Linked DNA regions of Canis lupus familiaris. The protein of the gene in region 4 interacts with the protein of the main gene of each other region in a pairwise test. Links are inferred from orthologs where the notes say so. Each region holds a gene or a part of one and is shown on either strand. Other genes may lie near its edges.

Region 1 (4,876 bases), on a different chromosome or scaffold from region 4:
AGGAGGGGGCCGGGCGCCCGGGGCAGGATCGGCGGGGTTCCTGGGTTTTCTCTGTCTCTCGGGCTGGCGCCCCGTCCTCCGCAGCTGCCCCCGCGTCCTGCTTGCCCTTTACTTGAAGCGCAGCTGGGGCCGCCGATGGGGCTCCGCGGGTTCCCTCGGGGACCCTCGAGACGGCCCGAGCCGGGCGCGCTGCAGGGAGCCCCTAATCGGGGCCGTGAATCAGGGCGCGCGACTCCGGGCGGGACACGGAATAGATAGAGGAGCCGGCGAGCCATTGTGCGCAGCCCGGGCGGCGGGGAGGGGGGGGAGGGGGAGGAGGGGAGGAGGGGAGGGAGGGAGGGAGGGAGGGCCGCGGGGGCGGGGCGGGGCGGGGCGCCGCGGCGGGCGGGCGGGCGGGCGGGCGCGCGGGGGAGGGATTCCCCGCCCCCGCCCCCGCCCCCGCCCCCGCCCCCGCCCCTCCGCGCGCCGCCCGCCGCCCCGCCCCCTCCTCCCCAATTAAATGACCCCACGCTTTGGCAGGCGCCGGAGCTCGCACATGCGGCCGCCGCTCCAGCCGCCCGGGGCCCGCCGCCGCCGCCGCCGCCGCCGCCGCCGCCGCCGCTGCGTTCCGGGCGCGCTCGGCGCGGCGCCGCCGGGGGCTCGGCAGGCCGGGGGGGCGCCCCTGCGAGCGGCCGTGCGCCCCCGCCCGCGCCCGCTGCCCGCCGCCAAACTTCGCGGCGCGCTCATGCCCCAAGTTGGGCGCGGCGGCGGCGGCGGGCGCTGAGGGCGGCGCGGGGCGCGGGGCGCGGGGCGCGGGGCGCGGGGGGCGGACGCGGCGCGGCCATGAGCGGGCGGCCGGCGCCGCTCTCCCGCAAGCAGCGGCTCATGGCAGCCGTGGGCGAGCGGGCGGCGGCGGGCGGCGGGGCCGGCGGGGGCGGGGGCGGGGGCGGGGGCGGCGGGGCCGGCGGGGCCGGCGGGGGCGCGCCGCTCTCCTGCTTCATCTGCGGCGGCGGCATCGGGCGCGGCAAGGAGCTGAAGCTGCAGGTGAAGCAGCCGGCGGCGGGCGCGGGGGCCGCGGCGCAGCCCTTCTTCCCGTTCCTGCAGCAGCAGGAGCCGGCGCCCGGCGCGCGCGAGCTGTGCCCGGCCGACGGCTGCGTGCTGGTGTGCGCCGTGTGCCGCTGCTTCCTGGGCGAGCAGTGGGCCGCGTTCGAGCGCGCCCGCACGCCGGTGGACAAGCGCATGTACTGGCTCAAGCGGCCGCACCAGTGCGAGGCGGGCGCGGGCGCGGGCGCGGGCGCGGGCGGGCGGCGCGGGGCGGCCGGGGGCCCCCGCGAGTGGAACGTCGCCTACGCGCTGGGCGGCGCGGCCGACGAGGCGCGGGACTCGGAGCTGTCGGAGCTGTCGGACGCCGACCCCCTCTCCGAGGGCGAGCCCGCCGCGCGCGACGCCGCCAGCCCCCGCCGGGACGGGGCGCCGGCGGCCGGGGGTCCCCCGGGGCCCGGCGCTCGCGGGGGCCGCGGCCAGGAGTGGAGGCCGGCGCCGGGGCCGCCCCCGGGACCCCCCGCGGGGCCGGGCGGCGCGCGGGAGGACGGGGCGCCCCCCTCGAAGCAGCGCGGGGACGCGGAGCCGCGGAGCGGGCCCCGGCGGCGGCGGAAGGCGGCCGGGCGGCACTGGGGCCCCGAGGCCCGCGCCAGCGTCCTCAGGGGCATCACGGACCCGTGGCGAGGCGCCCCCGGCCAGGGGGCCCCCGCCGACGGCGCCAAGGGAGGCCCTCCCGGCAGGGCCCCCAAGGGCCCCGAGAGCAGGCCGGCTGCGGACGCCCGCGGGAGCTACTGCATGTCGGAGGACAGCGACATCAACATCACCAGCGAGGAGGAGGACCGCAAGGAGCAGCCTCTCTCGGGCCCCAGAGACAAGGAGAGCGGCGGCTGCGTCCCCTGGGGCTCGCTGGCGAGCCGGGCGGCGCCACCGGAGGGCCTTTGCTGCTACATCTGCGGGTCGGCCCTGGCCCCGGCCTCGCAGCACCAGATCCACGTGCAGAAGCAGGAGAAGCTGGCCCAGGCCCCCTTCTTCCCCTTCCTGTGGCTGCACAGCCCCCCTCCGGGGGCCCAGCCCATCAGCGACGGAGGCAGCACCCTGGTGTGCCCGTGCTGCTTCTCCTCCCTCATGCAGCAGTGGCAGAGCTTCGAGCTGGCCAACGTGCCCGTCCTGCAGCGACTGTACGTCGTGCCTCTGAACAGCCACGCCCCCGGCATGGCCTCCAAGGGCCGGAGGCTCCCAAGGGAAGACGGCCCGCCTGCGGGGGCCCTGCCCGAGGCCTGCTACCTCTGCGGGGAGGACTGTACCCAGGACGCCCGGGCCGTGGCCTTCAGGATTCTCAACGGCAGCGCCCGGGGCTCCATGCATTTCCCCTTCCTCAGCCTCCTGCCCTGTCCCCCCAACGCCCGGGGCCCCAACAAGCGTTGCGAGGTCCGAAGCTGCCCCAAGTGCTTCAGCGTCCTGGAGGACGTCTGGGCCCTGTACCGGGCCTGCCAGAACGAGGAGCTTATCACCTCCGTGCAAGGCTTCCTGGGCAGGTACCACCAGGCCTTCTCCGCCTCGGAGCCCGCTCTCTGCGAGCCGCCTGCACCGGCCCGGGGCAGCCCGGCATCTGTCTGCTACATCTGTGGGGCCGAGCTGGGCCCTGGGAAGGAGTTCCAGCTCAACGTGAACCCCTCCAGCCGCCTGGGCGAGAAGGAGCCCTTCTTCCCGTTCCTCACCGTTTACCCGCCCGCCCCCCGTGCCAGGCCCGCCGACTCCACCGGCCTCGTGGCCACCTGTGTGCTCTGCTACCACGACCTGCTGGGCCAGTGGCTGCAGCACGAGGCCCGCAGCGCCCACCACACCGTCAGCGCCTGGTCTCGCCAGTACCAAGTGGAGACGTTCGTGTGCTTCTTTTGCCAGCAGGAGAAGAAGCGCTGTCTCGGACTCAAGGCCCTGCGGCTGGCGCGGCTGCCCTTGTTTCTCTATACCCTGCGAGCAAGCCACAGCCTGCTGGTGGACGATGGGCGGCAGCTGATCATCGGCGCCTGTGTGGAGTGTGGGACCCTGGTGTGTGCTGGCCCGGGGCTCGCCCGCCAGGGGTCCGTGGGTTGGAGCTCCCCAGTGGCAGCGGCGATGAAGGTAAGTCCTGGTTTTCTCTTCAGCCTCCGGTGATTTGAGTAGGAGAGGAAGACATGTTACTTTCTGTTCCTCTGCTGGGGAAGTGTTTGTACTGATTCCGTGTGATCTGTTCCAGAAGGAGCTTCCCTCCTGGGGTCACCGGGCCGGCGGCGCCTGGGGAGGGCGCTCGAGGTGGGGGTGCTGACTGAGCTGGGAGTCATGTGGAGCTGGGGGCACCTGGAGCGGGCTTGTGGAAGAGCAGGGCACTGCTGAACGCATCAGGCCTGGGCCTGAACTTGAGTGTGTGTGCAGCGGAGTCCGTCAAACAGAGGAAGTTCGGGGCACGTCTGTCATCCGCCTGATAACATTGGTAATTAGTCCGGCCATGCAGGTCACTGGGAGGTCTGTGCACTTACCCGGTTGGAAATGCAGCGGAGGTGGCAGTTCCTCTCCGTGCTGGCGCTGGCACCGCTTCGCTCCTGCAGTTTTCCCCCAAGTTCACACTTTTCCTCTGAGGCTCTCCGGTTGCTTCACAGCAGATGGAAACAGATTTTCAGACGTGGGGGTTTGGGACCCGGGGGACAGTGGCCTAAACAGACTTTCCCCCTGATGGGAAGAGAGGCTTTCTTCTCTGCAACTCAGCTGTGCAGGAGGGGGGGCGGCAGAGAGGCGGGGGGGTGTGTGTGGTGGCTGGCGTGTGCCCTGTTTATAAGGCGCCTGCCTTCACGCTGCCTGCCCGGGAGGAGCCAGACGGGCCTCAGTTAATTTTGGATTAGGCTTTGCAAGGGCCAGGACAGGACCTGCCTGCAGTGGGTCTGGGGAAATAGGTGTTTGTGAGTCGGGATCACCATGTACGGTGATGGCTACGGCGGGGGGGGAGGGGGGGGGGGGGTGTCGGGGAGGGGGCGGTGTCGTGAATCCTCATCGCCTGGAGGCCTGGTTTATTATAATCAGATGCCTGTAGTGGGAGCCACCAGCGAGGGGCCCCGCAGAGGGCCCCGTGGATGGGGAAGAGCGGCTCGGGCTTGTTCAGGAATGATTGTTGCATCTATTTGGAAGGATGGAATCCCCGTGTGTGGAATTCCTGGCTTATGCGTTCACTCTCAGGGGAGGTTGCATCTGTAAAGTGGGCGCACTGTCCCGCTTCCCTCCAGTGCTTGCCCTATGCTCTGCTCTGCCCAGGCTTTCTTCATGCTCTGCCCAGGCTTTCTTAATCTGCCAGTGTCCCTTTTGGACCATAGAGATGTAACTGGGGGCTTTGGTAGTGGTCCTCTTCTTCTAAATGGATGCATGTCTCATTCCCCCCCTGTGGGTACTGGACTTCTCATTTGCAGCCTGTGGTAGTCCAGTCTGTGGGGTCTGCTGCTGGGAGTCTGAAGAAGTGCTGTTTCCAGAAGGGCCAGAAACCAGGTGGTGAGCCTGGCTTTGGAGCAGGACAGACCTGGCTTCCAATCTTGCCCTGTCTCTTGCTAACCTGAGCAGCCAACGGCAAGTGTCTTACCCTCCCTGTGCCCGTTTTCTTGGCTGGGGAGCGGAAATACAGATCGCCTGCCTCGGAGGGCCAAGTATGTGAACAGACTGGGCATTTAGCTGCCCCCAGAAAGTCAAGTGCCTGGCACACAGCGGGACCCTCCCATCCACCCGATGTGTTGGGCAGATTTTTCTAGGATGCAGGTTGGTTTCTCTGCGAGGCTTTCCATTTGCAGGATGGTTGTGGGTCTCAGGCTGGGTGATTGGTGCTGCATGGAGGAGTTAA
Region 2 (4,671 bases), on a different chromosome or scaffold from region 4:
CACGCCTGCCTTTAGCTCAGGTTGTGATCCTGGGATCTGGGATTGAGTCCCACATTGGACCCCCCTGCAAGGAGCCTGTTTCTCCCTCTGCCTATGTCTCTGCCTCTCTCTCTCAGCAGTCTTTGCTGCTCATGAATAAATAAATCTTTAAAAAATAAATAAAATAGTATAGAGATTTTCAAACACACAATATAGGGAATAGTATCACAGACCACCATGCATCTATTACCCAGCTTCAATAACCATCAGCATCTGTTATTTTTATTTTATCTAAGCCCAACATCTTTTTTTCTGGAGTATTTTAAAGTAAATCCAGACACCATATCAGTTTGTCCATAAATATTTCAGTATGATTTTCTAATGCACAAGGTTTAAAAAAAGCCAAAACACTATAATACCTTTATTACAACAAAACAAACAGCCACCCATTCATATTACCTAATACCCAAGCCATGTTTAAATTTCCCCAATTGCCTCAAGAATAAAGGGAAAAAAATGAGTGGGAAATATCAGAAAGGGAGACAGAACATGAGAGATTCCTAACTCTGGGAAACGAACTAGGGCGGGTGGAAGGGGAGGTGGGCGGGGGGTGGGAGTGACTGGGTGACGGGCACTGAAGGGGGCACTTGATGGGATGAGCATTGGGTGTTATTCTATATGTTGGCAAATTGAACACCAATAAAAAATAAATTTATATATATATAAAATTTTTTTTTTTATGGTTGGCTCACTTGAATTAGATTCTAAATGAAGCCCAGTCACTGTATTTGTCTCTTTATCTATTTAATCCACGACAGGTTCCTTTCCTTTTTTTTTTTTTTTTTAAGTGCCATTTATTTGTTGAGGAAATTGAATTATTTGTCTTAAAGAACTTTTCATATTCTAGATTTCATTAACAATATATCCAATGTGTCACTTAATACATTCCGCCATCTCCCATATTTTTGGTAAACTGATGGTTAGGTCAAAAGGCCTGATTAGATTCAGGTTCAATTTTTCTTGGCAGGAAAAGTTCATAGGTGGTGCTGTGTACTTCTTATTGCATCACATAAGGTGAAACATAATGTCTGGTTGCCCTACTTTTAATGATGTTAAGATTGATTGTTGGGTTTACGTGAGGCCAGCCTGATCTATCATAAATTCCCCATTAATCTTATCACTAGATAGTTTGAAAAAACTATGGATACCACTGTTTTGTGATTTTATTGTCTCTTTAACCTCCAATATTAGTTGTGTGTAGAAGGGAATAGCCCAATGAATTTAGGAGCCCAAAGAATGAACCTAAAAAGGCGACACCTCAATGCATGGAAGACTCCTCTTCTTTGGAATCCAATTTCACAATACATTTATTGACTATTTATTCAGTTCCAGATACCTACTCTCAGCCTCTCAGGGTAAATAAACCATGTGAATAACTAAAAGTCACCAAGAAATGCAATAATAGAGATATATATGAGGTGCCTAGGGAACCCAGATGAAACAGTAAATAGTTCTGTTTATAGAGCTTACAAAGAATGATATCTAAACTAAAATCCTGGAGGCTGGACTAGTAATCTACAACCTCATTCCACTCCACTCCACTCTACTCTCCCTCTATATTTGGTTCTACTCATACAGGTCTTTTTCTAGTTCCTGGAAACTATAAGCATTCTTCTCTCCTTCAGGATTTCCATACTCTACCTGAACCTATCTTCCTTACACTCCTCCCCTGGCTACTTCCCATTCATCCTAAGTCAGTTGGGTCAGTTAGTACATTACTTCTTCATCGAGGCTTTTTCAGACTCTCTAGTTCTTTCCTGTTTATCTCAGAATTCTTGTTATTTCTTTATTTTTTTATTTTTAAAGATTTTTATTTATTTATTCATGAGAGATACACAGAGATAGGCAGAGACACAGGCAAAGGGGGAAGCAGGTTCCTCTCAGGGAGCTGGATGGGGGACTCCATCCTGGTACCCTGGGATCACACCCTGAGCCTAAGGCAGATGTTCAATTACCGAGCCACTCAGGCATCTCTTGTTATTTCTTTATATAATTTATCACAATTTATAATCACATATTCAAGAGTGGGATTATTTGTCCTGAGTCCATTTCGTTCAGTAGAATGTAAGCTCCATGAGGGCAGGCTGTATTGTTCACCATGGTATACTCACTGATTCCTACAGTGCTAGGCATATAGTAAGCACTCAAAAAATATTTACTGAATGAAAGAAAGAATAGGTGTAGCTGGCATACTACTAAGCACCCAGTTTGTCTAGTTTCTGCCATCACTTTGCTATCCCAGAACGACTCGGACTCCAATTCAGCCCAGCACCCAGAACAACTGTTCAGGGAAGCAGGGGCATCCACGTTTGGGAGTGGAATTAGGGGCCTTCGCAGAAGCTCCTTAATGGATTTGTATTTACCTTGGGGGTTTTGAGCACAAACTTCTGTTTCCCTTCATCAGGGCCCAGCTGCGCCTTCAATTTCAGTAGTTTTGCTACCTCCTCCTCGATCTGTGGAAGTAAAATAAGTGCTGGGCGATCACGTCTGCCACTCCCTTCCCTCCTCCGCCATTCATTCAGTATCCCTCCCTCATCAGAATCTGGGCAGATCTCTCCCCTCAGTTGTGCTTCTGTCGGGTTCTACCCGGGACACCTCCCCATCCTGGCCCTGCTCCTTCCTATCCGCCGGGTCCCTTTTCCTACATCTCTTTCCTCTATGCAGACCACCTAGTTCCATGTCCCCCCCGGTCCTATTTTGGTCTCTCCCAGCCACCTGGGTCGCACCTGCTCAGCGCTGGCCTTCTGCTGCTTGAGGCCCCGCACGCGCTCTCCCTGAAGTCGCACTAGCTCCTCCAGTGCTGCACGTTCTGCCATATTGCGGCCAACTGGCGCTGAGGGCTGTCTAGACCCGCTGTGGTTGCCGCAGCCTCAGCTCGGATAACTTCCGGCTATCGAGTCACTGGACCGCACGCCTAGAGGGCCCCCGTCGAAACACTTCCGGCTGCTCCCGGAAGTGCCGAAGCTGAGACGGTGCCTGAAAGGTTCGGAGCCAGCCTTCAGGCTTTGGAAGGTAAGGAAGTGATCTTTTCGCTGGTGCTACGGCTAACCTCTACAGCGCTCTGCACACTTACTGCGGTGGGGTCCGACCTGCTTCGTCCCCAGGTCTTTTGGCTCTTGTCTCGGAAAGGCGGCTTCCTGTTACATGATGCCCCCGTTCGGACTCCTGCACCGGAGGGCCTGGGCTTCACTGTTTGGCCAGCTCCTGCGGCCGTCCGGTCTTGTGTGCATCGGGGAGGTCCATTTTCATAGCCAGGTGAGCCAGACTGAGTGGTCTGTCGGGGCAGGATATTCAGGTCTGAAAGTATGGACTCTCGGCCTGCGTTCCAGTAGTACAGTTGTTTTTTGTTTTTGTTTTTGAGTGGTTTGCTGGTACTGAGCCAAGTATTTTAGATACTTAGCCATTTAATCCTCATAGCAATTTTGAGAGGTTGGGATTATTTCCATTTTACAGTTGAGGAAACAGTCTGCAAGGTTAAATGACTTATCTACAAATATATAGTAAAGGGAGCATTTTTAATACAGGCCCACAATCCCTTATGGGAACCTCTTGGGGGTCAAACACATTCTTAAGCAAAGTATATGAATATCCCCATTAAGTGAAATGACAGAAGACCATAAGTAGACTGAATTCACATTAGAATTTATCTTAAAGTGAACTCCGCGCCCCCCCCCCCCAAAAGAAACCCCAAAACAAACCACTTTCTGTTTTTTAAAGATTTTTGGATTTTGGAATTGCATATGGACTTAAACTGCCATCCTTTGGAAGAGAGAATTGCCAAAATATGGAACTACCACACTATGTTTGTGAAAGGGCGTACAGCCTGCTGCTAATAAATAAAATTATCGGTTCAGTTTTACTTTAGGAAAGACCCTAGCAGATGCTTTGTGCTATCATGAACAACAGGGCTCAGGTCTTTTGTTATTAATTTTCAGTCACAGCATCTTACCAGTCTGATTTTTTAGTTCGACTTATTTAGTTCGATCCATTCTTGTTCATTCCATAGGCGTATTGTATGTTTTGGGCTGGTTCTCCTGTCTTCGGGTTACTTTTTCCATGTCTCTAAGCCTAATGACCATTGATTGTTACCTTATTAAAAATTCATTTATTGCTCTTTGAGTAGGAACTAAGAATTGGAGATCATACTAATCCCTACTCCTTGATGGTTGGTGGCAGTAATGGTGGGTTGTCCTGTGCCTTCATTGTTCTCAGGTGCTTTTCCAGACATTAAAAACTCCGAATATGATAAAGACCTGACCTTATGTGTATTACATATATAGTGCAAATACAGTGTATATTTTGGAAGGAGGCTGAGATTGAAATAGATAAAACAGTAGTCAGGCTGTGTGTTGCTCAGGGCCAGATGTCTTTGCAGGTCACTTGCAAAGGTGTCTGTCCTAGGCCTGACCAGTCTTGTGGCTCACATCTCACATTCCTTTTCCTGCCAGGTTTCAGAGGCTGTGTTAATATCCCAACTGAAACCACATCAAGAAAAATCAAATTTTGTTATCAAGACCCCAAAGGTAATGCCTTTTGCCTCACCGTATCCTATTAGATGCCTTGAGGATTGCCTTCTGCTCCGCTTGTCTTTTCCTAACCCCTTTTAATGTCTTTTTAGAGTAATTTCATTAT
Region 3 (4,600 bases), on a different chromosome or scaffold from region 4:
CGCCGCGTGCCGAGTGGAGTCTCCATTAGGGCAGCTCTATTGATTTCTGATTCACACTGCAGCAACAGGGCTGGAGTGCAGGAGGAAAAAAGATCACATCTCAGAGATAAGAATTACTAATGGCAAAAATAAGCACACACACACACACACACACACATGCATCTGTTACCAAAAAGAATCAAGAAGGGAAATTAAGACAGCAAAATTGCAAGATTGTTAGCATCTTAGAAAAAAAACATAGGAAAAATAAAGTATGATGAATTCAGGAAAACCCTTGGTTCTAATCTTTAAGCCATTTTTTATGAAAAATGATAATGTTCTTATTTCCAGAATGCTTTTAAAAAAAAAACCTGAAAAATTTGTCAAAGATACTTATTTGAGGGTAATCTTAAAAGCCATGCCTGAGAATTTTGAGAAAAATTCAGAGATTTATTTTTATTAGATTTGTTAAATTATTGCATCAGTTAGCTCTCATTTTCCTATTTTGGATGCTTTGTGTTGCATAATATCTGGGATACAGTAGCAGGTTGGTTGCAAATGTTTGAAACAGAAATAGGTTGCATTTCAGAGTCCAACTGTGAGCCTGTGAAGCAGCTAGCGTTCTCTCAAGGTCTGTTGCCTCGGAATCGGTTAGAAATTATTGTATTTAGGTGTAAAATGGTGACTTGGTCTTTCAGGCGGCTTGAGTTTATAACTGGCCCTTTTACCCTGAGACTTATCAGCTACCTCCTTCTCCAAAAGAATGACAGAGGTAAGTTCGGTTTCACAATAACGGTGCTGTCAGGCAGGCAGTCTGCATGTGAGCAGCAGAAAATGAGAAGAATCGAACAATCCCTTCCCATCCCCCCACCCCGGCCACGCGCACACACACTCGCACACACGCGCGCACACACGCACACACATGCACACCCACCCACATGCACACACATACTCCAACACCAGTCGGTTAAGGGGAAAAAGGGCGATACCTTTTTAAAAAACGAAAGGCAGTAAGCCATTATTAGCAAGAGCTATATTGAGCATGCTTGCCAGACAGGCAGCAAAGCCGAGCTCCAGTTCCGCCCAGACATGTGCCTTGCCATTTTCATTTTAATCAGCCTGCTCAGGATGGCTGCTGATTCATTTTGCAGGATGTCCCCCTGGGAGTCAAGGTGGAAGCCTGAGGCGAGCTGCTACTGCATCAGGGCAGCACAGAACATCAGACAGGGAGAGTGGGGGCGAGGAGGAGACAGGAGATCCCACACTCCACATTCCAGATTTCAAGATGGCTATTTAAAAATCCTTCCCGAGACCAAGTGCACTACAGAAAATATAATGAAACAAAAATAAAGAAAAAATATGTCACAATGTCATTTCATTATCAAACCAACCCCCTCCGATGAAACACACACACACACACACACACACATGCGCATTTCCACAGAATGCCTTGAAATTCTAGTTTTCTTCATGGTCACTGTAAACTGCTATATATATATATATATATATATATATATATATATATATATTCATATTTACCTGGTAACTAGCTGGGGTGGTGTACCTGATTTAGCTGGAGACTTTGATTTGTGGGATTGACAACCTTATTATGCACTGAGCTTATTATTGATATTATTCTGCTCTCGGTTGCCATGGCCACCTTGTGAGAGACATTCAATTTTCTCTCTTCCATCATCATTATCTATGAGGCCATCTGTTGTGGAAAATGAATTCAGCCTCATTTGCATGACTGATAAGCAATTTTTTTTTTATCTATTTAACAGAAGGTCATATGCCGGGGATTTGGAGCTCGTGAAAAAAAATGTGGAGAAAAAAAAAGCATATCGAGAGCATGAGTGGGAGTGTGTGCATCAGGGGACGCATGTGGAAGTGAAACAGATCCCTCAGGCCCGCGAGCCGATCGCGCTGCGTTTGTCAGTCCTGCCCGGGCGACATTTTTTCCCTAAGCTACTGCACACTAAAGCAGAGAGAGAGCTTTCCTCGCAGCCTTCTTGAAGCCCCCTGATTTTTTTATTCATTGTTGGTGGGTGTATTTTATTTTACGTTTTATTCCCTGGACTATGGGTTATGGTGTCAATATTCACTGAAGACAAAAAGCAACCTTTTCTGCATCTCGGTGGTAGGCATATTCCTCATCCTCCTTTCAAACTTGTGGTGGAAAAGGGTTTTCTTTTCTTCTGGTGTCTATTGAGCCAGCACAGTTGACAGCATTGAGTTGGTCGTTAACTTGTGAGCGGTTGTGGTCATGTTGTGAGGTATGTGATCTTCGTTAGGTTAATTCTGTGGACCTGGTGGACAGCGTATGTTTTACCGTAGTCCAGGGGCTGGTGCTGCAGTGCCTATTGTTTGCTCCTTTTTAAAGTTATTTTTACAGCATGGCTGGGAGCTGAAATGTTCCTGGGCTAGAGAGTTTGTGAGCCACAGAAGTCTGTCTTTACAGCAAAATGGGTATTAAGATGCATGCCTTAACTGTGATGTTGTTTATTTAAAAAAAAAAAAAAACTTGCTGCATGGACAATACTTGGATGATTTGCGGGCACTGAAACAAAAACTTCCCAGAGACTTTACTGGGTTACTTTCCATTACAAATGAAGCAGAGCATTGTTACAAAGGCTGTTAAAACATTCGATATTCTTGCTGTGATGTTACATTTTGCCTAATGGTGAGAAAGTTGACTTATATGGTCTAAACTGAGAAACTCAAAGATTTTTAACTATTACCTAAATGTCTGAAGTTCATAGTGATGAAACATTATTTCAATTGTAACAGAAATATGTCTTCTCATGCAACTTACATTAATAAACTAGAAGTCCAGACTGCAAACTTTAGTTTCAAGATAGGTCATAATAAGGAAATAAATAGATATGCAAATATTCATATGATAGTTATTCGAACTATAGAGCATTGAATTTGACTTTAGTATTAAATTAGCCATGACAATTTCTTGTACCACTAAAACTCTACTATATAATACTGTAGAATTTTAAGTTATTTATTTACTTTGAGTAAAAATATTTTTCCTAAGAGCTTTTGTGTTTGAGTGTATTTTACTGAACAAAATTAACTTCACAGACAAAAGCACCCTACCACCACCCTTATAGGCATAAGGGAGTCTTTCTAATTGTTCAACTTCATAAAAGTTATGCAGCTTTCTAAACGATAAATAGAGCATGTCTGCCATGCAGATAAAAATGTGATTACTTTTTTTAAAAAAGTGTTTTGCACAATATTCCCTTTTGAAAAACAGCTCCATTGCATTCCCGTAAGTTTTCACCTCTTCAGAACTTTGAATGCAAAGTGTTGATTGTATATCATATACACGACTAAGTGACACGTTCTAGGAAAAAGGAAGTTTATTTTTTTTTCTAATTGACCTGAAGGAAAGTGTATGATTCTATGCTCTCAAGTACAATAGGTTAATTGGTTGAAATTCTCCACAAGGTTGAACTGTAGTGACATATTTTCTTTATTAAAGACAATAGACGGTTGCTGATATGCTTGTATAATAATTTTTTACTTGATGGCACTTTTAAAAAACTCTTGCCACAGTATCACGGATGACTTATAAGCAAAGCAGCTGTTATGTAATCCTTCCTTTTAAAATCAGCCATTTTTTTTTATATTTTAGCTCGAGTATTACAGAAATGATTTCACTCTAGTAATTTCACACTTAGTAAGTTCAAAACAATAAAAGCCCGATAGTTTGTGAAGATTATTTAAAGTGACATCACTTTTCTCAGAGGACTGTAGTTGAATCACGGTAACGTGATACCTGGATCTATATTATAATAGGAAGGATTATGCTGGTGCTTTTTGATCAGTACATGTCGTCTTCAGATTTGGAAAGCAGAATTGTCAACTTCTGAGCAAACTAGGAGGTAGCAGAGTTGGTTTTTCCTTCTCCCCCACCCCCTCAAAAAAAGTTAATTACCAATCTTGGTTGGGTTCTTCCTTGTCTCCCTGACATTTGACTGCTGCTAATTCACTGATTAATCTCATTAATGTGATTATAGTGGGATTTGGAGCTGGCTGCCATTGTTCTGTAGACAGTGCCATTCAGCCCGAGCACTTGCCACCTCATTCAGTTTTGCTGTGATTTTTCAAAGGCTGGTTGAGTGAGCCATTGTGAGCAGGGCTTCTCTCCCCTTCCCTTTCAGCACCGGGAGCTGTCCGCTGCTGATAGCAATTACGTTCAGCCCTGACTGACTTTCCACTAGTTTACTGGCAACGTAAAAATGGCTCACTTTCATCACCTTGATGATTGTGCTCCTTGAGGTAGGAGCAAGAGCAGCCTTTATGGTCACAATTGGGTGTTTTGAAGATGGTGGCAGAAAAGATATGCAATCTCTGTGTTTTACTCTGCACATAAGAATTTCACCCCACTTTCCAAATTGCCAAACATTAGGATTTCATTAAAATCACTTGCCTAAGTATACAATGGTGCATTGGAAAACTGTAAACACTAGGTAGACATGTTTTTCAGATGGAAAAGCTTTTTGTAATGGAAAGGTATGTAATTACTGATAGACATTTATTTTGGAAACGATAAGCCAGGACCATCAAGATGAACCAGCAAGACAGGAAGTATACATGAAGCATA
Region 4 (4,890 bases):
GTTTATCTCCAGAGCCTTAAAAATCAGGACTAATAAAAAAAAATGGATTCAGATCATCTCTCTTCTAACCCAAGAAGATCCGGTTTTATCTTACTTTTTAAAACCATCCAAATCTTGCATAATTTAAGTGATCAGTGCTGTCACTGGTTGCTCTGGTTTAAATTATGCATTGTTGCTATTTGGGGAAAATTTAGACTGGGTCCAGTCTGGGATCACTGGCTGAGAACAATAAGCCCCCAAAGTGAGAAGGATAAAGGCCTCTCCAGACAGGATCTGCTTTTAATGCATTGAGCTCAGGGTTTACAAAAGAGCATTGATTGTGTACATTAAAGAGCCACCGAGACAGCAAGGGACTGGTTAAGGCTGCAGCAAATTCTCCAAGATGCCACTGACCTTGGCTGCATTTCAGGGGTCAGGCATTCCCCACGAGGCTCTCAGCAGGCGGGCTTTCCTGAGGGGTTAGGAACTAATGAGACCTCTCATCTGGATAAACCCACCTCTCCTAATTTGGAAAGACAGAGAGACATTATCTGCTCTCGGATTTGTGGAGATCACCAACAGGGCCCTTGGACTCAATGGCCCGCCTGCACACCTCACCCCCTACAAGACTGGTCATACTCTCCGGCACCGGGGATGCAATCGTCTCCACATCTGCATTTAGGTCTTCCAGCCAGCCAGCAGTTCCTATCTCTAGAGCTGGCCTTCGCCCTCCCTCTTCACACACCTCCTGCAGGCAGAAATACAGAGGCAAAGCACTAAGCCCAGGCGACAAAGAGCAATTTCAGTGAATCCTGCAAGATCTCTTTTCAAAATACAGATCTCTGGAGCACAGGCCTCCCGTGTGTGATTCACACTCAGGCAGGCCCGGTGAGCCCTCGTGGTTGCTCACCAGCCTGCAGGCTCTGGGCTCCGGATCTCAGGAAACCTTCCCCGTGAAAAAGCCAACGGGGGACACCTCTGACCGAGGCCAACTTAAAAATCGCCTCGGATTGCTTTCTATTAGAGGAGGATGAGGACATTCTGCTCAGGAGAAAACCACAAGCCTTGCCCATTGTTCAGGCTCCTTCCCCTACCCCCCACCCCACCCCCTGCGGGGCTTCGCCACTTTCCCCTACCCTGTAGTCTGGGCCATCCATCCACCTGATTAACCCGCTGGCAGCAACTCCCAGCACAGAAAGTAGGGCAAATGAACACACACAGCCTGTAAGGCAGGAAACCACAGACTTAGCCAAAGCACCCACCCTGTTACCAGCCCCCACCCCCAGCTGCCCAGGGAGCTGCGGCTTCTGAATGTGGCATTTCTGCACCAGGCGAATAGACAGCTTACTGTAATATCACATGAATGAGCTTTTGCTGCCCAACTATCCAAAAAAAAAAAAAAAAAAAGAGGCCATTTCAAATGGCATCTATGTTCCTTCTCAACCCCTGGACTGCCTCGCAGAAACCTCACCTCTGGGAAGGATGAAGCAGAAGAGGAGGGGAAGTTCCACAAGAGGAGGCTGTGCAAGGGAGGGAGGCTTTAATGAGCCGCAAGAAAAAGTAGCACTTGGACGGTTCAAGGCAGCTCTTCAAGATACCCGTGAGGGAAGGGGCAGTGGCAGGAGGAGGGGTGAAGATTCAGGTCTGTAACCCCGAGATTTAGCATCAGTGTAACCATGTAAGCCTCAGGAGGGCGTGTGAACTTCGCGGCTGCACCCCTCCTGCGCGGCTGCGTGGACAGCACCGGCGAGGCGGGCCCCGACCCTCCGCGCTGCCAGGATACACATGCAGTCGCTTTCCCCCCTTTAATTCCTAGTCTTCGTTCAGGGGGAGGAAGAAGCCATCCTTAACTGGGGTGCGATCCATCTCAGACCCCCCCCCCCCACTGGCTGCAGCATCAGACCCTCCCTGTCCCCCTCTTCGGGAGGCAGCATCTCATTAAAATGGCAAGAAGTCTCGGCCCCCTTCCCCCGAAAGAGCGTGTTGGGATCCGGGGGTGGGGGTGGGGCGTCGTCGAGGCTACACTGGGGTTCCCGGGATCCGGAGCTCAGAACAACAGCAAAATGGATCCTATGGCAAGTGATGTCTCAGTCCATACAATGAAAAAAAAAAAAAAAAAAAAAAAAGGGCGTCTGGGGCGATTCACGTGAAGGGAAACGCAAAGCCAGCCGCGGGGCCGGAGGAGCTGGATGCTCCCCCTACTCTCCCTACAAAGGGCTGGCCGCGGGCACACGCGCACACGCGCACACTCACGGGAGTTCCGGTCTGAGCGGGGGAGCGCGGAGAGCACATCCCTTCACCTGCCTTAAGTTGGCCCATAAAACTGAAATGTCAGGGCCACAAAGTCAAAAAAAAAAGAAAAAAAAAAGCAAGCAGGGCTAAGTTACACCGTAAACAGGGGTGCGCGAGGCGGGCGCGGGAGGGCGCGGGGGGAGCCTGGGGGCGGCGGCCACCGACGGGCACCGGCGTCGCGGGGTCGGGGCCGTCGGGCTGCCCCGGTCACCCCGCAGCGAGCTGCGCAAAGTGAGCGGCCGGTGCGTTTCTCCACGTTTTGCAAAAAAAGAAAAAAAAAGGGGGGGGGGGGAGGGGGGACGGTGGGGCGTCGCGCCTTGCACGAGCTGGCCGTCCGGGGCGCGTGTGCACAGCGCACACACGCGCGCGCGCACACGAGCATTCCACGTTCAAGGCTCGGGCGCCGGGGTAAGGTGAATGCCCCGCATCCCGGGGAGCCCGGCCGCCGCCGCGGGGGTCACGGAGCCGAGGCTCGCCCGGGGCGGGGACGGGAAGCCGGGGTCCCCCCCGCCGCCGCCGCGCATCCGCCTTGCCCCCGCCCGCGCGCCGCCCCTAGCCCCCGGCGAGACCCCCCGAGACCCCCCGAGAAGCCGGTTCTGCTCACCCTCAGCGCCGAGAGATCGATCTCATCCAGGCTGCGAGCCGGGGAGTCGCTCGCCATGTCGACTTCTTCGCGGGAGCAGCGGCCCTGCGCCCCCCCGAGGCTCCCCCCTTGCAGACTCCACCTGGTCTACCGGCCTCGCGTCCTCATGCGGCTGCCGCGCCAGAGGCCCCGGCCCAGCCCCCGCGCCCGCCCCGGCCCGGCCCGGCCCGGCCCGGCCCCGCGACGCCCGATCCCGCTGCTGCGCCCGCGGGCGGCCGCGGACCCGGAGCCCGAGCTGCGCGGCTCTCCCAGCCCCGAGCCGCGGTGCGTGTGGGCTGCGCGCCCCGCTCGGCTAAGGGCGCAGGGGCTGCGTGGGTGTATTTAAATGGGACATGCTTCCCTGCCTGTGCGTGGATGGCGGCTGCATCGGCGGTTATAATGAGACACATCAACTCCTCCACTCCGCCGGGGGGTGGGGGCGGACGAGCGCCCCGAGCTGTCCATCAGCGCTTCCTGGGAGGAGTGAGGCGGGGGGCGGGGGCGGGGCGGGGCGGGGCGGGGCGGGGCGGGGCCTCCGCCCGGGAGAGGCCGCGCTTCCTGACCCGGGCCCTCTGCACCAGCGCGCGGGGCGGGGCGCGCCCTCTCGGCCCGGGCGCCCCCCGCGGGGTCTGGAGAGCGGTCCCCGACCCCGCCGGGCCTGTCGCGGGGGCCAAGGGCCTTTATTCGTGCGCGTCCGAGTCGTGCGCTGCAGCACAATGGCCCTCCTCGCACCGGGGGCGGGGGCGGGGGGCTCTCGGCAGGGTGCGATGCTCCGCGCTTTGCACATCCCGGGGAGGGCGGTGGGGTGCGGGGGGGGGGAAGAGCGACGGCCGCCCTCCCCCCATTAGTTATTTGTGAGGCTGGAGTAGCACGGGCTGGTGCAACCGGTGCATATAAGGACTTGTGTGCAGGGAAGGGGATCCGCCTCCAGGCGCGGAACGAATGGGGGCGAAGCGCACGGGCACCCTGCGCTCCAGCGCTGCGCCGCGGCGGGGGGGGGCGCCCAGCGACCCCCGGGAGCCCGGCAGGGGGCATCCGGGACCGGCCACCCGCGGGTCGGGGGCTGGGAAGGTTACCCCGGAGCGGGAGAAACGCAGATCGGAGTTCCCTGTTGGCACCGCCACACCCAGGACCTGCCCGTACCGCAGTTCCCCACGGAAACGACCGAAGCGAAACGAGCAGCTTCTTTTTTTTTTTTTTTTTTTTTTGCTTTTTTTTTTTTTCTCTCCCTTCCCCCGGGTGCCGCAGCGTCAGGTACCCCTCCAAGGGCGACAGCGGGTGGGGCGGCGCACGTCGGCCCTGGGGGCAGCATTTCCGCCGCTGAGCTCCTGGGGCGGGCGGAGAAAGTTTGGCGGGTGCTGGGAGGTGTGTGTGCAAAATGCACGGCAGGAGGGCGAGCTCACCCCCACCCCCCGCCCCGCCCCGCCCCCCGCTGGCTCCTGGAAAGGCTGAGCGTGGACAGTGGTAAGCATGACCTTCCCCAACCAAAAGTATGAGGTCACTTCCCCCGGGCCCCCCGCGCAGGAAGGAAGGGACGCGGGAGCCCAGCTGTGCCCCCCAATGCAGCCGTCGCCCTGCAAGCGCTCCCTGCACCCCTGCTGCAGCCGAGGGGGGCCTCCGGGCCACGCGCAGGCCGGGCCTCGGGGTCCCGTGTGCGCAGTCAGCCCCCGAAGGAGGCTCTTGAATGAATGGACCGAAGGCAGCGCCGCGGGGTCAGCGGGACTGCAGACCCTGAAGCCTGCGCAGCAGCGTCGGCCCGGCGCCCCGGTCCCGCTGTTGTCCAATGATGGGGCTGCTTAGGTGCCCCGGCCCGGGACACTGGCCACCTGTTCCCACGGCCACCGTTCCAACGCGCTGAATTCAGAACGCTCCACGTGACCTCTCATTTTCTACCAAGATCATCCAGCTTTGAGGCTGGATGCAAGCAAGTGAGGTGCAGTAAGCCACCAAAGGGATGTAGAAATGATGTTAGGAAAAAGCCCTATCATTTCCCATCA
Region 5 (3,148 bases), on a different chromosome or scaffold from region 4:
CACCCCGCCACCCCCACTCCTGGCAGGGGGTGGGCCAATCGGCCCCACAGGCCCATGAGGGCTCACGGCCACAGCGTGAGGCAGGGGCCGGACTGCAGGACGCCATCCAGCTTTGCCAGCTCTGCTCTGTGCCAAGGAGCGGGCCTGGAGCCCCCACGGGATGTCACCCCCAGCACTGCGACCTTGTCCCAAACCGCTGCCCTTCCTGCGTCCTCTGCTCCGGGCCAGCCGGCGGTCCTTCTATCTGTCCTGTTTCCCCCACCTGCTTCCTCTGCTGGGGACGCTGCTTCCGCCACCACCCCTGCCCCATGTCCTTGACTTCGTAGCCTCTCCTTCTCCTTCCTCAATGTCCCCCCACAACAGGTCCCTTTGCTCCTGAAGAGCGAAGCTCACCTATTTAGAGAGGTCCTCGCCGACCTCTGTACCGTCGCTCTGTCTCCACACCCTCTATTTTCTCCTTCTCCTTCCCTTAGGGCACCCTACTATTTGTCTTATTTCCTGGCTCCCACTGCACCCTGGATTCCCCGACTTAGCTAGAAGGGACCTTACGTGTTGACAGACTCTGGGGTGACCCCTTTCTCTGTTGCAGATGGCAGACCTGCATGCGGTCCCCAGGGGCCTGTACGACGGGCCGGTGTTTGACCTGACCACCACACCCAAAGGGGGCACCCCCGCGGGCTCCACCCGGGGCTCCCCCACGCGGCCCAACCCGCCCGTGAGGAACCTCCATCAGTCGGGATTCAGCCTGTCTGGTGAGTGGGCGAAGCGCCAGGTGCCCTTCTGTGAGAAGGGCCTGGTGGACTGGTGAGGGGGGTGCGGGGGAGGGAGGGGGTAGGTAGGGAGCTGGCCGGCCACCTGGGAACCAGCCCCCCCCAACACCTTCTGGAAGGTGGTGACTGGGGTCAGCAGGAAACTTTGCCAACTCAAAAAGGAATCCCGTTGAGAAAGCAAGATAAGTTTCGAAGAGGTTAAAGATCAGGTTTTTGGTTTTTTTTTTTTCTTTAAGATTTTATTTATTTGAGAAAGAGAGAGAGGAGAGAGAGAGAGCGCGCACAAGCAAAGGGAGAAGGAGAAGCAGGGGCCCCGCTGAGCAGGGAGCCCAGTGCGGGGCTGGATCCCAAGACCCCAGCCAAAGGCAGATGCTCAACCGGCAGAGCCACAGGTGCCCCAAAGATCAGGCTTAAATGATGACCATTTGCTTAGAGGTCACACCTGGAGGGGTGGGGTGCGATGACTCCCATGATGAATTGGTGGTGATTCTCTGCGGGCGGCCGTGGGAGCTGTGCGTGGTGTTGTGCACCTCTGTTGGAGCCGCTGTTGAGTAAATGCTCTGCTGGGCTAGCCTGGTTGATGCTTTAAGAACTAATATTCATAGAAAATAATTGTCTAGTTGCCCCGTAGCCTGTAGTCTTACGATGGGGAAAAGTAACTGTAGGTTTGCATTTCTGTGGTCCTTGTTTTTTTGTGTTTTTTTTTTTTTCTCTGCTGGAGATAGGCGTTCGGGAGGATGGATATGAAACACCTAGAATGTTTGATAGACTGGAATGGAAATTTCTCGGGAGATGAGGCCAGGAGGGTGCCTGCCGTCTGACACTCTGAAAACTAATCCAATTTCTCTCTTTTCCACACCCCCCTCTCCCTTTTTTCCTTCCTGGGGATGTGTTGCCAACCGTAGGCACCCAAGTGGATGAGGGGGTCCGCTCGGCCAGCAAGCGTATCGTGGCACCCCCTGGAGGCCGCTCTAACATCACGTCCCTGAGTTAAGCGACCCCTCCCCAAAGAGAGGGGCGGAAGCAAGAAGAGATTTTCTTGAAGCCAAAATGGTACACCAATATTTAAGAAGGAAAGCGAATCCAAACAGTTGCGATCTAAAGAATCAATAAGCCTCAAGCCTTATGTTTCTCCAATGCTACACTCGCTTGCCTAGCTTTACGAATATTGCTTTGTTTTCTGTTTATGCATAGCCTTGATTTGTTTGACCCCCTCCCCCCATTTCCATGCATGCAATCAGACAGGCTACTAAGGTAAAAGCGTCTGCTATATAGTGTTGAGCGCGTGTGTAGTGCTGCATTTTATGACAAGGGGACAGACAAAGCTGGGATGTCAGGAAAATCAACAAAAGGGACGTGGGTATTGGTGGTGAGGGGGTGGTGGGAGCCCAGAGTAAGGCGGAAGGCTCCGAGGGGCTGGGGTAGGGTGTGTACGGGGAGGCGGGCGGGTGGGTGAGCATAAGGGGGCTTGTGTGTTGTGTTGAAGCACGTTTATTTCCATGGATGATGGCTACTTGGGGCCGCCGCCCCTTCCTCACGGTCTCCAGGGGTCTGCGGAGAAGGCAGGCAGTCTTCAGGTTCCAGACTTTGTCACATCCCCTCCTAGATTTTATTCCTTTGAACATTTTATTAAAACACCAAAACCCAAACCATCACCTTCACCTGCTCGATCATGCCAGTGTTTCGTAGGGCCTCTTTCTCAGTGTTGCTTTCAAATTCTCCTCTTTCCTGGGCCGGGAAGGAAGAGAGGAGGAAACCCTCCTCCCTCTCTGTCCTGCCTGCCTCTCTGGTGCTCTTTAAAAGGCAGCAGCTGGGAGCACACGCAGGCCCTCGGGGCGGGGCAGCCGCGCTCACATGCCTTCCTCTAAACGCGTGTTGGAGATCATCACCTCACGTGCTCGGGGCCTTGCCCACCCGGGAGAGCAGCGTGCATCCGGCATCCTGAGTTAGGACAAGCCGAGGGGGACCCCCAGGAAGGGCTGCTCTTGCTGGCGGTGAGTGGCCGAGTCTTTCCATCTCGAGTTCCAGGCACATCTGTGATTGGATAGGATTTGGGGTTTGAAAATGTATGTGCTTAGGTGTTCTAGGAGTTTCGCTGTGAACAGGTGGTCTCGGTTGAGGTGGGAGCCAAGCAAGGATTTGGGAAAGCCAGTCTGTGAGGCTGGGGCGGGGGGCACATTCTGGGACCATGGGTCTGCTTTTCAGCCCTCAACTGTCTGCCCTTCCTTCAGCACATCCTCTGGGGGAGCTTTTGGTGTCTTCCTGCAGCCCCCAGGGTGGTGGAAGTGACGTGCAGCCTTGTGGGGTGTGGCACATAACAAAGTGGAGCTCAGTGTCCATCTCCCCATCCTGCCGCTTCTGAAAGTTCAATGTGAGCC
Region 6 (4,090 bases), on a different chromosome or scaffold from region 4:
ACCATGAAATGGATAATAATCATGCCCTCCTACCAAATTTGGGGGCAAAATGTCATGAATTTGACATCCAACAGTAGAGCAGGTGAAAAGCCAGAATTTTGGCAGCATCTTCCCTGTGCAAATCTTTGTATGTTCTGTTCCAAACTAACAGTTGCAGTAGCCTTTTAATTGAAGCACTAAAACAAGATTTTTGGGAACAGTATGACTCAGATCACATTTATTTTTAGAGCTGGAATTCAGAAAATAATAATGATGATAATAATAATCAGGTGGAGTAGGGGACAGGGAAATTTAGTAAAGTGGATTGATTGGTGAAGAACACTAAATCCCATGATTGGAAGTTTTGATTAGCTCTCACAGGCTACAGGGAGACATCATATAGTATAAAAGTGAAATTGATGGAGTCAAAACCATGTTTGAGGGAAGATAGTTCTGGCAACTGTATGAAAAAGACTAGTTTCTTATCTAGTAGTATCTGTTGTTCAGGGTGCCCCAATCATTAAACCTGCTGGATAGGGAACGTGGCCCATACTGGTTCTAGCAGTTATCTCTAGGGTTCCTATTGAGCTTTCTGGGCCTATTTGAGGATTAAACAGGGATGTGAAATGTTGGAGAGAATCTTATTTGGATAGGAGAGAACCTAGAACAGATACCAGAAACAGTGATTATATGGCCAGATAACTTATATGTAATTATCTTCATTTTTTAGTTCCATAGAAAGGACAGTAACTGATGTGGGTGTGCAAGTAACAAATGCTAGGATCTGGATTCAGGTATCTGACTCCAGGGCTGGCATCCTTAACCACTAAGCTACATGCTGTTACTTTACAAATGACAAAACATTTTATACATTTTAACTACTGTTTCCAAAAAAAAAAAAAATAATAATAATAATAACTACTGTTTCCCAAGTATGAGATCCTAATCTAGGAATTATTGCTAAATACACTATTTTCTATGTAAAGAAGTAATAAACGAGTTGTACTAATAAACTATGGTGACTTAATAGGTTAAGTACCCTCTGGCAAGGCTCTCTACAAATACACAGAGGAAAACAATGAATGTAGAATGAATGGATCTGGAAGTGTTCTAGATCTGAAAGATCCAGAATGGACTGCATATGATTTCCTCGGTAGTCTGGTGATAGATACCCTGGAGACCTTGGGCCTACATTAGGCTAGGTTTCTGTCTCCACTCCCAAGCACCCCATATGTAAACAGTTGCCTCTGTGTCTTTGCTTATGCTATTCCTTCAACTGAGAGCCCTTCTCTACCTGGTGATAACTAACTTAACCTTCAAGGCCCAGCTCAAATGTCATTCTGTAAGTGGATGAAATAAACAGAAGAGGGATCCCTGGGTGGCGCAGCGGTTTGGCGCCTGCCTTTGGCCCAGGGCGCGATCCTGGAGACCCGGGATCGAATCCCACATCGGGCTCCCGGTGCATGGAGCCTGCTTCTCCCTCTGCCTGTGTCTCTGCCTCTCTCTCTCTCTGTGACTATCATTAAAAAAATAAAAAATAAAAATAAACAGAAGAGAAACAATGCCCCAGTAGGGCTTTGGGGGTTCTCACCATTGTTCGTAAGTGAAGAATGAACAACAGCAATAAAGACGGCGGGGGAAGCAGAGGTTGGATCAGAGACAAATGAAGAAGGCAAGAATATGGTAGTCCCTGAAGGTGAGAGAAATGTGGTCATACATTTTCCAGTTGTTCTCTAGAAGTTACAAGTAAAGCAGCATTAAAAAGTAGAAAGCAAACTGGACTGGGAACCAAGAGACTTACATTCTAGTTCTCGTTTGAATCTTGGGATGACTTTTGTTGGACTTGATTTTTTAAAATCCCTTGTAACTCAAACCTTTCTCTGTGCTAGCAGCATAAAGCTACTAATTTGAAAACAAGGACAGAAAAGTAAGTATTTAATGAAAAGAATGACCACAACTTGGGTTTTTTTTTTCAATGTGGACTTGTTCTCAAATCTCAATTAAATCAAACTTAACTACTAATAAAAAAGTATACCTGTTAATCAGACATTTCCCATATAACACTGAATTTTTCAATGCAGCAAAAAATTTAGATTCGACATTTGCTGCCATGCTTAGCTAAACCTAAATCATAGCTAGAGGCACAAGATTCAGAGTGTAAGCAATTACTTAGTTGAGAGTAAGGCGTGAGCAGCAGGTGAATAACAAAGAATTCAAGTATTTTACCTGACACTAGTTTATAAATTCTTTCGATAAATTCAGATCACAACCCAGTAAATTGTGATCAAAGCACTGGCCATAAACATTCTTTCGTGCAAGGTAAACCAAAATCTGACCTACTTTCTAATTCCCACAGGAGACGCTGAACATAAGCCATATATCTGTGGGGATGCAGATTCTGCCTCTACTGTTTTGGATGGAACTGAAGACTACCTCATTCTGGCCTGTGATGGCTTCTATGACACCGTGAACCCTGATGAGGCAGTGAAAGTTGTGTCTGACCATCTGAAGGAGAATAATGGAGACAGTAGCATGGTTGCCCACAAATTAGTTGCATCAGCTCGTGATGCTGGGTCAAGTGATAACATCACTGTTATTGTGGTATTCCTGAGGGACATGAACAAAGCTGTAAATGTTAGTGAGGAATCAGATTGGACAGAGAACTCTTTTCAAGGAGGGCAAGAAGATGGTGGGGATGATAAGGAGAATCATGGAGAGTGCAAACGCCCTTGGCCTCAGCACCAGTGCTCAGCACCAGCCGATCTAGGCTATGATGGGCGCGTGGATTCATTCACTGATAGAACTAGCCTGAGCCCAGGGTCCCAAATCAACGTGCTGGAAGACCCGGGCTACCTAGATCTCACACAAATAGAAGCAAGCAAACCTCACAGTGCCCAGTTTTTGTCACCAATTGAGATGTTTGGTCCTGGTGCACCAAAGAAAGCAAATCCTATTAATGAGCTAATAATGGAGAAAAAATCAGTTCAATCATCATTGCCTGAACAGAGTGGTGGTGCTGGAGAGTTTCCCTCTTTTAATTTGGGTTCAACAGGGCAGCAGATGTACAGAATGGAGAGCTTGTCTCCTGTCTGTCCTAGGTTGGAAGATGAACAGTTCAAATTCCTGGGAAAGAGAGTTTCCAGATTGTCTCATTTACGCTATCATTATTCAAAGAGATGGCATGGATTCAGGTTTAATCCAAAGCTGTATTCATTTATGTCTGGTCAAGAGCCTTCCCACAAAATAGGCACTAGTCTGTCCTCACTTATTCGGAGTGGGAAGAGAAACAGAATGTTCAGAAGTTTTCTGCCATGGAGGCAAAATATTTGGAAAGGATACAGTACAAACATGATGAGGAAGCTCAGAAAGAGTAATGACATTCCAGACCCAGGTCTCCCCTGGAGCTATAAAATATAATACTTCCTCTTTAAAGTAGGCTAGCTAGCTCTCCCCAATAAAGATACCACTATCAGAGTAGGAACAAGGTAGATGTTTCTGAAACATACGTGCTTCATTATGAAACCATGGGTGGCTCAATTCTTAAATGTAAATAGATCTCTAGAAAACTCAAAGTAGTGTTTTCAATCAAAAAAAAAAAAGTATTGGCGGTTTCACTAGCGAAATTATACAACTGGTCCCTGTGATGTGTCTCCACACCTACATATGACCCCCAGTTTATTATCCCTTCACATCACTAGTGGAAGTTTGTGAATTAGTTGTTTTAGTCAGGATATCTAGTGTTGAAATCTCAATGCAGGTGAAATCTGGTTCGATGTGCCTACTGTATCTATGGAAAACTTAATACAGAATCAGATTTAGTTGGGGGATGTTCCCCAAAAGCCTGGGGGAATATGTGGGAAACCCTCCCCTCTTTTTTTGGTTGATAAGACTAAAAGCCATATGGGTTTTAATTAGTTATGATGAAAGTGGAAAACTAGTATAATAAGCGTGTCATTATTTTCTGACTTGTGAGGTGGTACATAGTCAAAAAGATTTACGGATTTTTTTTCCTGTAACAAAAACGATTATGAAAATTTTCTGAATTAAAAAGTACTTCCTAGGGCTGTGTAGCTATTTGGGAGTTTCATAACCTGTTATGGTGCTTTTAGCG
Region 7 (4,090 bases), on a different chromosome or scaffold from region 4:
TAGACAACATACTCACCCCTGAAGTGGTCACTGAGGTTCTGACTGTCCAGGTTCAGGTCACATCCCTGTCCCTGAAATCCCATGTGAACCACCTTGTGGGTTGAGCATGCAGGAGGAGTGGATCCCCAAGGGAAGCTACGGGCTCTGTTTACCGTCAGACCAGGGAAGCGGACGCTGGACATGCAGAAACAACAGATGTCCATGACGTCTCCTTTCCGGGGGGCACAGACCTGCACTGAGGAAACAACTTCAGGATAATGACAAGAACCCGTTAACCGAGTGTAAATGTTGAGGTCACTGAGAGCAGGGAAACGGGGCAGTGTGGGGAGTGAGTGAGGGGGTTCTGGAGCCAACTGCCAGGGTGGAATCTCAGACTTACCACCCAGCACCCTGCCTGGGGCATAAAAATGCTCAATGAACAGAAGCTGAAGACATGGGAGAAATCGGGATAGGCCCTGGGGGTGGGCGAGCCCCGTTTTTGAAGTAGAAGCCTGCCGATGAACAAAGGAGGGTATCTGAGGTTCAGGGGGGCGGGTTGTTGGGGCTCACGGAACCCAGCCCTCTAATAATCAGCCAAAGCTGTCCCTCCCCCCGCAGCCTTCGTCGGTCAAATCCCTGCGCGCCGAGCGCCTGATCCGCACGTCGCTGGACCTCGAGCTGGACCTGCAGGCGACCAGGACCTGGCACAGCCAGCTGACTCAGGAGATCTCGGTGCTGAAGGAGCTCAAGGAGCAGCTTGAACAAGCCAAGAGCCACGGCGAGAAGGAGTTGCCGCAGTGGTTGCGTGAGGATGAGCGCTTCCGCCTGCTGCTGAGGATGCTGGAGAAGCGGGTGAGAGCCACGCAAGAGGCAAGGGAGGCGGCTTGCTCTGCCCTGAGGGACTGCCCAGTGCTGCAGGGGAGGGAGGCCAGAGCTTTGAAGAGGTGCTACAGTCCTGTGACCCACTAACAGTGTTCCCAGGGCCCCTCACTCCCATCATCAAAACGATCCAGGAATCCCTTTGCCCGGTAAACTTTATTAACTCTCGACCTGGCTGCCGGGCCCTTCTGCATTTCCATATTTATGTGTGCAAGACCTTATCATTCACACTTTTATTCATCAAACATTGGGTACCAAATCTGCACTTGGGCACACACTTGAATAGATACAGAACACTGACCTGCCCCAGTGTCGGCCCATGTGATCCCACAGAGTAGCTCTCTCTAAAGATACAAGTTCGTACATGGAGGAAGTCCCTCATGTTGGAGATCTCCCAAAGGCGACTGCTCTGGGCCACCACCTAGAAGGGAGGAGGGCAGTCCTCCTCAGCAGCACAGGAGGACTCTCTGGGTCAGGGTGCTCCAAAGCAGGAGCAGCTTCAGATCTTTCATGGCTCTGGGCTTTATCTCATCTGTGGCTAGCAGATAGTGGGCACAACTTCATGGGGTATGCAAAGCTGGCAGTTTCTAAATGGATAAAAAAAAAGTCTGCTTGTTTGAAGCACATTTAAAGCAATTGGATGCCTTAAAAATTTGCCTTTGGCACCAGTGAGCTGACAGGTCCCAGCCTGTCATGAAGACGTAACAACACAGGGTCAATACACAGAAGCCATCATCAACTCATTTATACAGTATCTGCCACTCCTGGACTGTCACCCATGCAGGAATGACCTTTGCTGGTTTCCTCTGCGTACAGCCAGACAATGCACCTTGCAGAGGGTACCGGCCTCGGTTATTTTTTTGGGAGAGCCGTTAGCCGAAGCCCCAGCTCTCAGTGCCAGTGATAATGCCTGAGAGTAGGAAAGTGGTGGTGGGCTTCTAGGGTCTGGACTAGCTGAGGGGCTTCAAATTGACTCTGGTAATTCAAGAGTTCCTGCAATGTTTATTTCTTTCTAATTCAATATTTATACTCTGTATACTTATAATAGGTAATGCCTTTAAAGAAAAAAAAAGGGGGGGTGCCTTGGTAACTCAGTTGGTTAAGCATCTGCCTTCATCTCAGGTCATAATCCCAGGATCCTGGGATCGAGTCCCACATCGGGCTCCTTGCTCATCAAGGAGCCTGCTTCTCCTTCTATCTGCTGCTCCCCTTGCTTGTGTGCTCACTCGCTCTCACTCTCTGACAAAATCTTTTAAAAAGGAAGGGAAGGGAAGGGAAGGGAAGGGAAGGGAAGGGAAGGGAAGGGAAGGGAAGGAAGAGTAATGGCCTTTGGAAGGAAGGTAAGTGACTAAGTGCCTGTTCATTTCCTTTACTTTCCCTTTGTGCCTTTCACTTTGCCTTTCCTTTCTTTCTTTCTTTCGTCTCCTTCCTCTCCTCCTCCCTCCCTCCCTCCCTCCCTCCCTCCCTCCCTCCCTCCCTCCCTCCCTCCCTCCCCTCTCCCTCGCCTCCTTCCTTCCTTCCTTCCTTCCTCTCCTTCCTCCCTACCCTCCCTCCCCCCTCCCTCCCTCCCTCCTCCTCCCTCCCTCCCTCCCTCCCGCCCCCTCCCCCTCCTTTCCTTTCCCTCTCCCTCCCCCCCCCTCCCTCCCTCCCCTCCTCCTCCCTCCCTCCTCCCTCCCTCCCTCCCTCCTCCCCTACCGAAATAAAAGAAAAGAAAAGAAAAAAAAGAAAAAACCTGACCTCTCAAATAGCAAAAGAATAGTACATCGTGACTGTCTGATAATGGCCTACTAAATAACCACTTAAATGATGGCTTCATTGGGGCACCTGGGTGGCTCAGTCGGTTAAGCGGCTGATTCTTGATTTCAGCTTGGGTTGTGATCTCAGGGGCCTGGAATTGAGCCCCACATCAGGCTCCATGCTCAATGGGGATTCAGCTTGGGGATTCTCTCCTCTCCCCACCTCTCTCTCTCTCTCTCTCTCTCTCTCTCAAATAAATAGGTAAATCTTAAAAAAAAAAAAAAAAAAAAAAGATGGCTTCACCGACCAAAATTCCATCTTCATGCAATTAAGTTTCAAGTTATGTGATACATGGATATTTTAGGGCTTTTTGTGGTTTGTTCTCAAAAGCGCTTACATAGGTTTGCATTAAGAGGAAGGGATACAGCATATCTAAAGCCCTTGAACACAATTGCATGATTGGAATTGTGTTTCCAACACTTCTTAGTTGTTTGACATCATCAAAGAAATGTCTTAACATGCCTGAGCCTCAGTTTCCTCCTCTATAGTACAGAAGTAATTATAAAATGTACCTTTCTAGGTGGCCCTGGGGCTTAGAAAGGTAGCACACATTTCACTAGGCAGCCCTCATCTCCTTACACATAGGTATTCAGTTCCCTGGCCCCAAAAGCCTGTCCACCCTGACACATGATGGGGTCACATCTTCTCACCATTCTAAACAGAGGACCCAGCAGTGGAACGGGAGTGAGCATGCCTGTTCTGTGACCCTCAGACCTTTTGACTACACTAGACTCCTCATGTGTGCTAGAAAGTTGTCCTTAGCTGCCCCTTTCTAGAGGCCCTGAGGACTCCGTAGCACCTCACAGCCCTGCTTGCTTTGCCCTGCAGATGGACCGAGCAGAGCACAAGGGTGAGCTTCAGACAGACAAGATGATGCGGGCAGCCGCCAAGGATGTGCACAGGCTTCGAGGCCAGAGCTGTAAGGAGCCCCCAGAAGTGCAGTCTTTCAGGTAAGCAGTGGGCACCTGGCCAGCCCGCCTTCCCCTTTCACATGCAGCCGACCCAGCCTCAGTCTCACCAGCCCTGGCCCGTGCTCCCTCCGCTAGCAGAGCACCAGCCCTCCTCGGAACAGATGCGTGCCCTCTGCCCAGCCGCCCCGGGCGGTCTGTGAGCGCCGCAGTGCTTTCCCTCAGCTGTCCTTATCAATCCCCGCACAACTCGAGCTAATTTGTTAGATCCTCTTGTTTAACGAATGAGCCACCTGCTCCGGCCTTCCCTCTGAGTGTTTCCATCACCCGTAATTATGGAGGACTGGCTGAATGATAAATAAGCCTGGGGTGCTTGCCGGGCCTCCCTGACTCTGCCTGCTGCCTGCCAGGACCTCAGGGAGGTGCTTTCTTGCCTGGATCCAGGCATGTCATAGGAGGGCCCCAAATGCCCTTTGGCTAGGACCTCCCATTCACAGCATTTAGACTCATGATACCGTCCTAGATAA

Evidence for each region.
Region 1: the proteins of TNIK (region 4) and GSE1 interact in a two-hybrid assay, tested with the Homo sapiens proteins (2 studies listed by BioGRID and IntAct). The link is inferred for Canis lupus familiaris from reciprocal best matches to the Homo sapiens genes TNIK and GSE1.
Region 2: the proteins of TNIK (region 4) and HARS1 interact in a two-hybrid assay, tested with the Homo sapiens proteins (2 studies listed by BioGRID and IntAct). The link is inferred for Canis lupus familiaris from reciprocal best matches to the Homo sapiens genes TNIK and HARS1.
Region 3: the proteins of TNIK (region 4) and MYT1L interact in a two-hybrid assay, tested with the Homo sapiens proteins (2 studies listed by IntAct). The link is inferred for Canis lupus familiaris from reciprocal best matches to the Homo sapiens genes TNIK and MYT1L.
Region 5: the proteins of TNIK (region 4) and DPYSL3 interact in a two-hybrid assay, tested with the Homo sapiens proteins (2 studies listed by BioGRID and IntAct). The link is inferred for Canis lupus familiaris from reciprocal best matches to the Homo sapiens genes TNIK and DPYSL3.
Region 6: the proteins of TNIK (region 4) and PPM1E interact in a two-hybrid assay, tested with the Homo sapiens proteins (2 studies listed by BioGRID and IntAct). The link is inferred for Canis lupus familiaris from reciprocal best matches to the Homo sapiens genes TNIK and PPM1E.
Region 7: the proteins of TNIK (region 4) and WWC1 interact in a two-hybrid assay, tested with the Homo sapiens proteins (2 studies listed by BioGRID and IntAct). The link is inferred for Canis lupus familiaris from reciprocal best matches to the Homo sapiens genes TNIK and WWC1.

The regions. Positions count from the first base shown.
Region 1 is NC_049226.1:67,906,911-67,911,786, reverse strand, and holds the start of GSE1 (genetic suppressor element 1), read left to right. Parts: upstream 1-1,717; 5' UTR 1,718-1,815; coding exon 1,816-3,141; intron 3,142-4,876.
Region 2 is NC_049223.1:34,969,122-34,973,792, forward strand, and holds the start of HARS1 (histidine--tRNA ligase, cytoplasmic), read right to left. Parts: upstream 2,938-4,671; 5' UTR 2,856-2,937; coding exon 2,766-2,855; intron 2,493-2,765; coding exon 2,403-2,492; intron 1-2,402. Other genes in the region: HARS2 (histidine--tRNA ligase, mitochondrial), read left to right, coding at 3,184-3,294, 4,488-4,562. UniProt on the Homo sapiens protein: Catalyzes the ATP-dependent ligation of histidine to the 3'-end of its cognate tRNA, via the formation of an aminoacyl-adenylate intermediate (His-AMP). Plays a role in axon guidance.
Region 3 is NC_049238.1:1,323,189-1,327,788, reverse strand, and holds the start of MYT1L (myelin transcription factor 1-like protein), read left to right. Parts: upstream 1-1,688; 5' UTR 1,689-2,023; exon of another isoform or gene 2,024-2,119; intron 2,120-4,600. UniProt on the Homo sapiens protein: Transcription factor that plays a key role in neuronal differentiation by specifically repressing expression of non-neuronal genes during neuron differentiation.
Region 4 is NC_049255.1:36,054,225-36,059,114, forward strand, and holds the start of TNIK (TRAF2 and NCK-interacting protein kinase), read right to left. Parts: upstream 3,060-4,890; 5' UTR 2,933-3,059; coding exon 2,876-2,932; intron 1-2,875. UniProt on the Homo sapiens protein: Serine/threonine kinase that acts as an essential activator of the Wnt signaling pathway. Recruited to promoters of Wnt target genes and required to activate their expression. May act by phosphorylating TCF4/TCF7L2.
Region 5 is NC_049223.1:40,852,856-40,856,003, reverse strand, and holds part of DPYSL3 (dihydropyrimidinase-related protein 3), read left to right. Parts: intron 1-589; coding exon 590-752; intron 753-1,675; coding exon 1,676-1,764; 3' UTR 1,765-3,148.
Region 6 is NC_049230.1:33,523,748-33,527,837, forward strand, and holds part of PPM1E (protein phosphatase 1E), read left to right. Parts: intron 1-2,335; coding exon 2,336-3,396; 3' UTR 3,397-4,090. UniProt on the Homo sapiens protein: Protein phosphatase that inactivates multifunctional CaM kinases such as CAMK4 and CAMK2. Dephosphorylates and inactivates PAK. May play a role in the inhibition of actin fiber stress breakdown and in morphological changes driven by TNK2/CDC42.
Region 7 is NC_049225.1:44,173,164-44,177,253, reverse strand, and holds part of WWC1 (protein KIBRA), read left to right. Parts: intron 1-579; coding exon 580-849; intron 850-3,483; coding exon 3,484-3,605; intron 3,606-4,090. UniProt on the Homo sapiens protein: Regulator of the Hippo signaling pathway, also known as the Salvador-Warts-Hippo (SWH) pathway.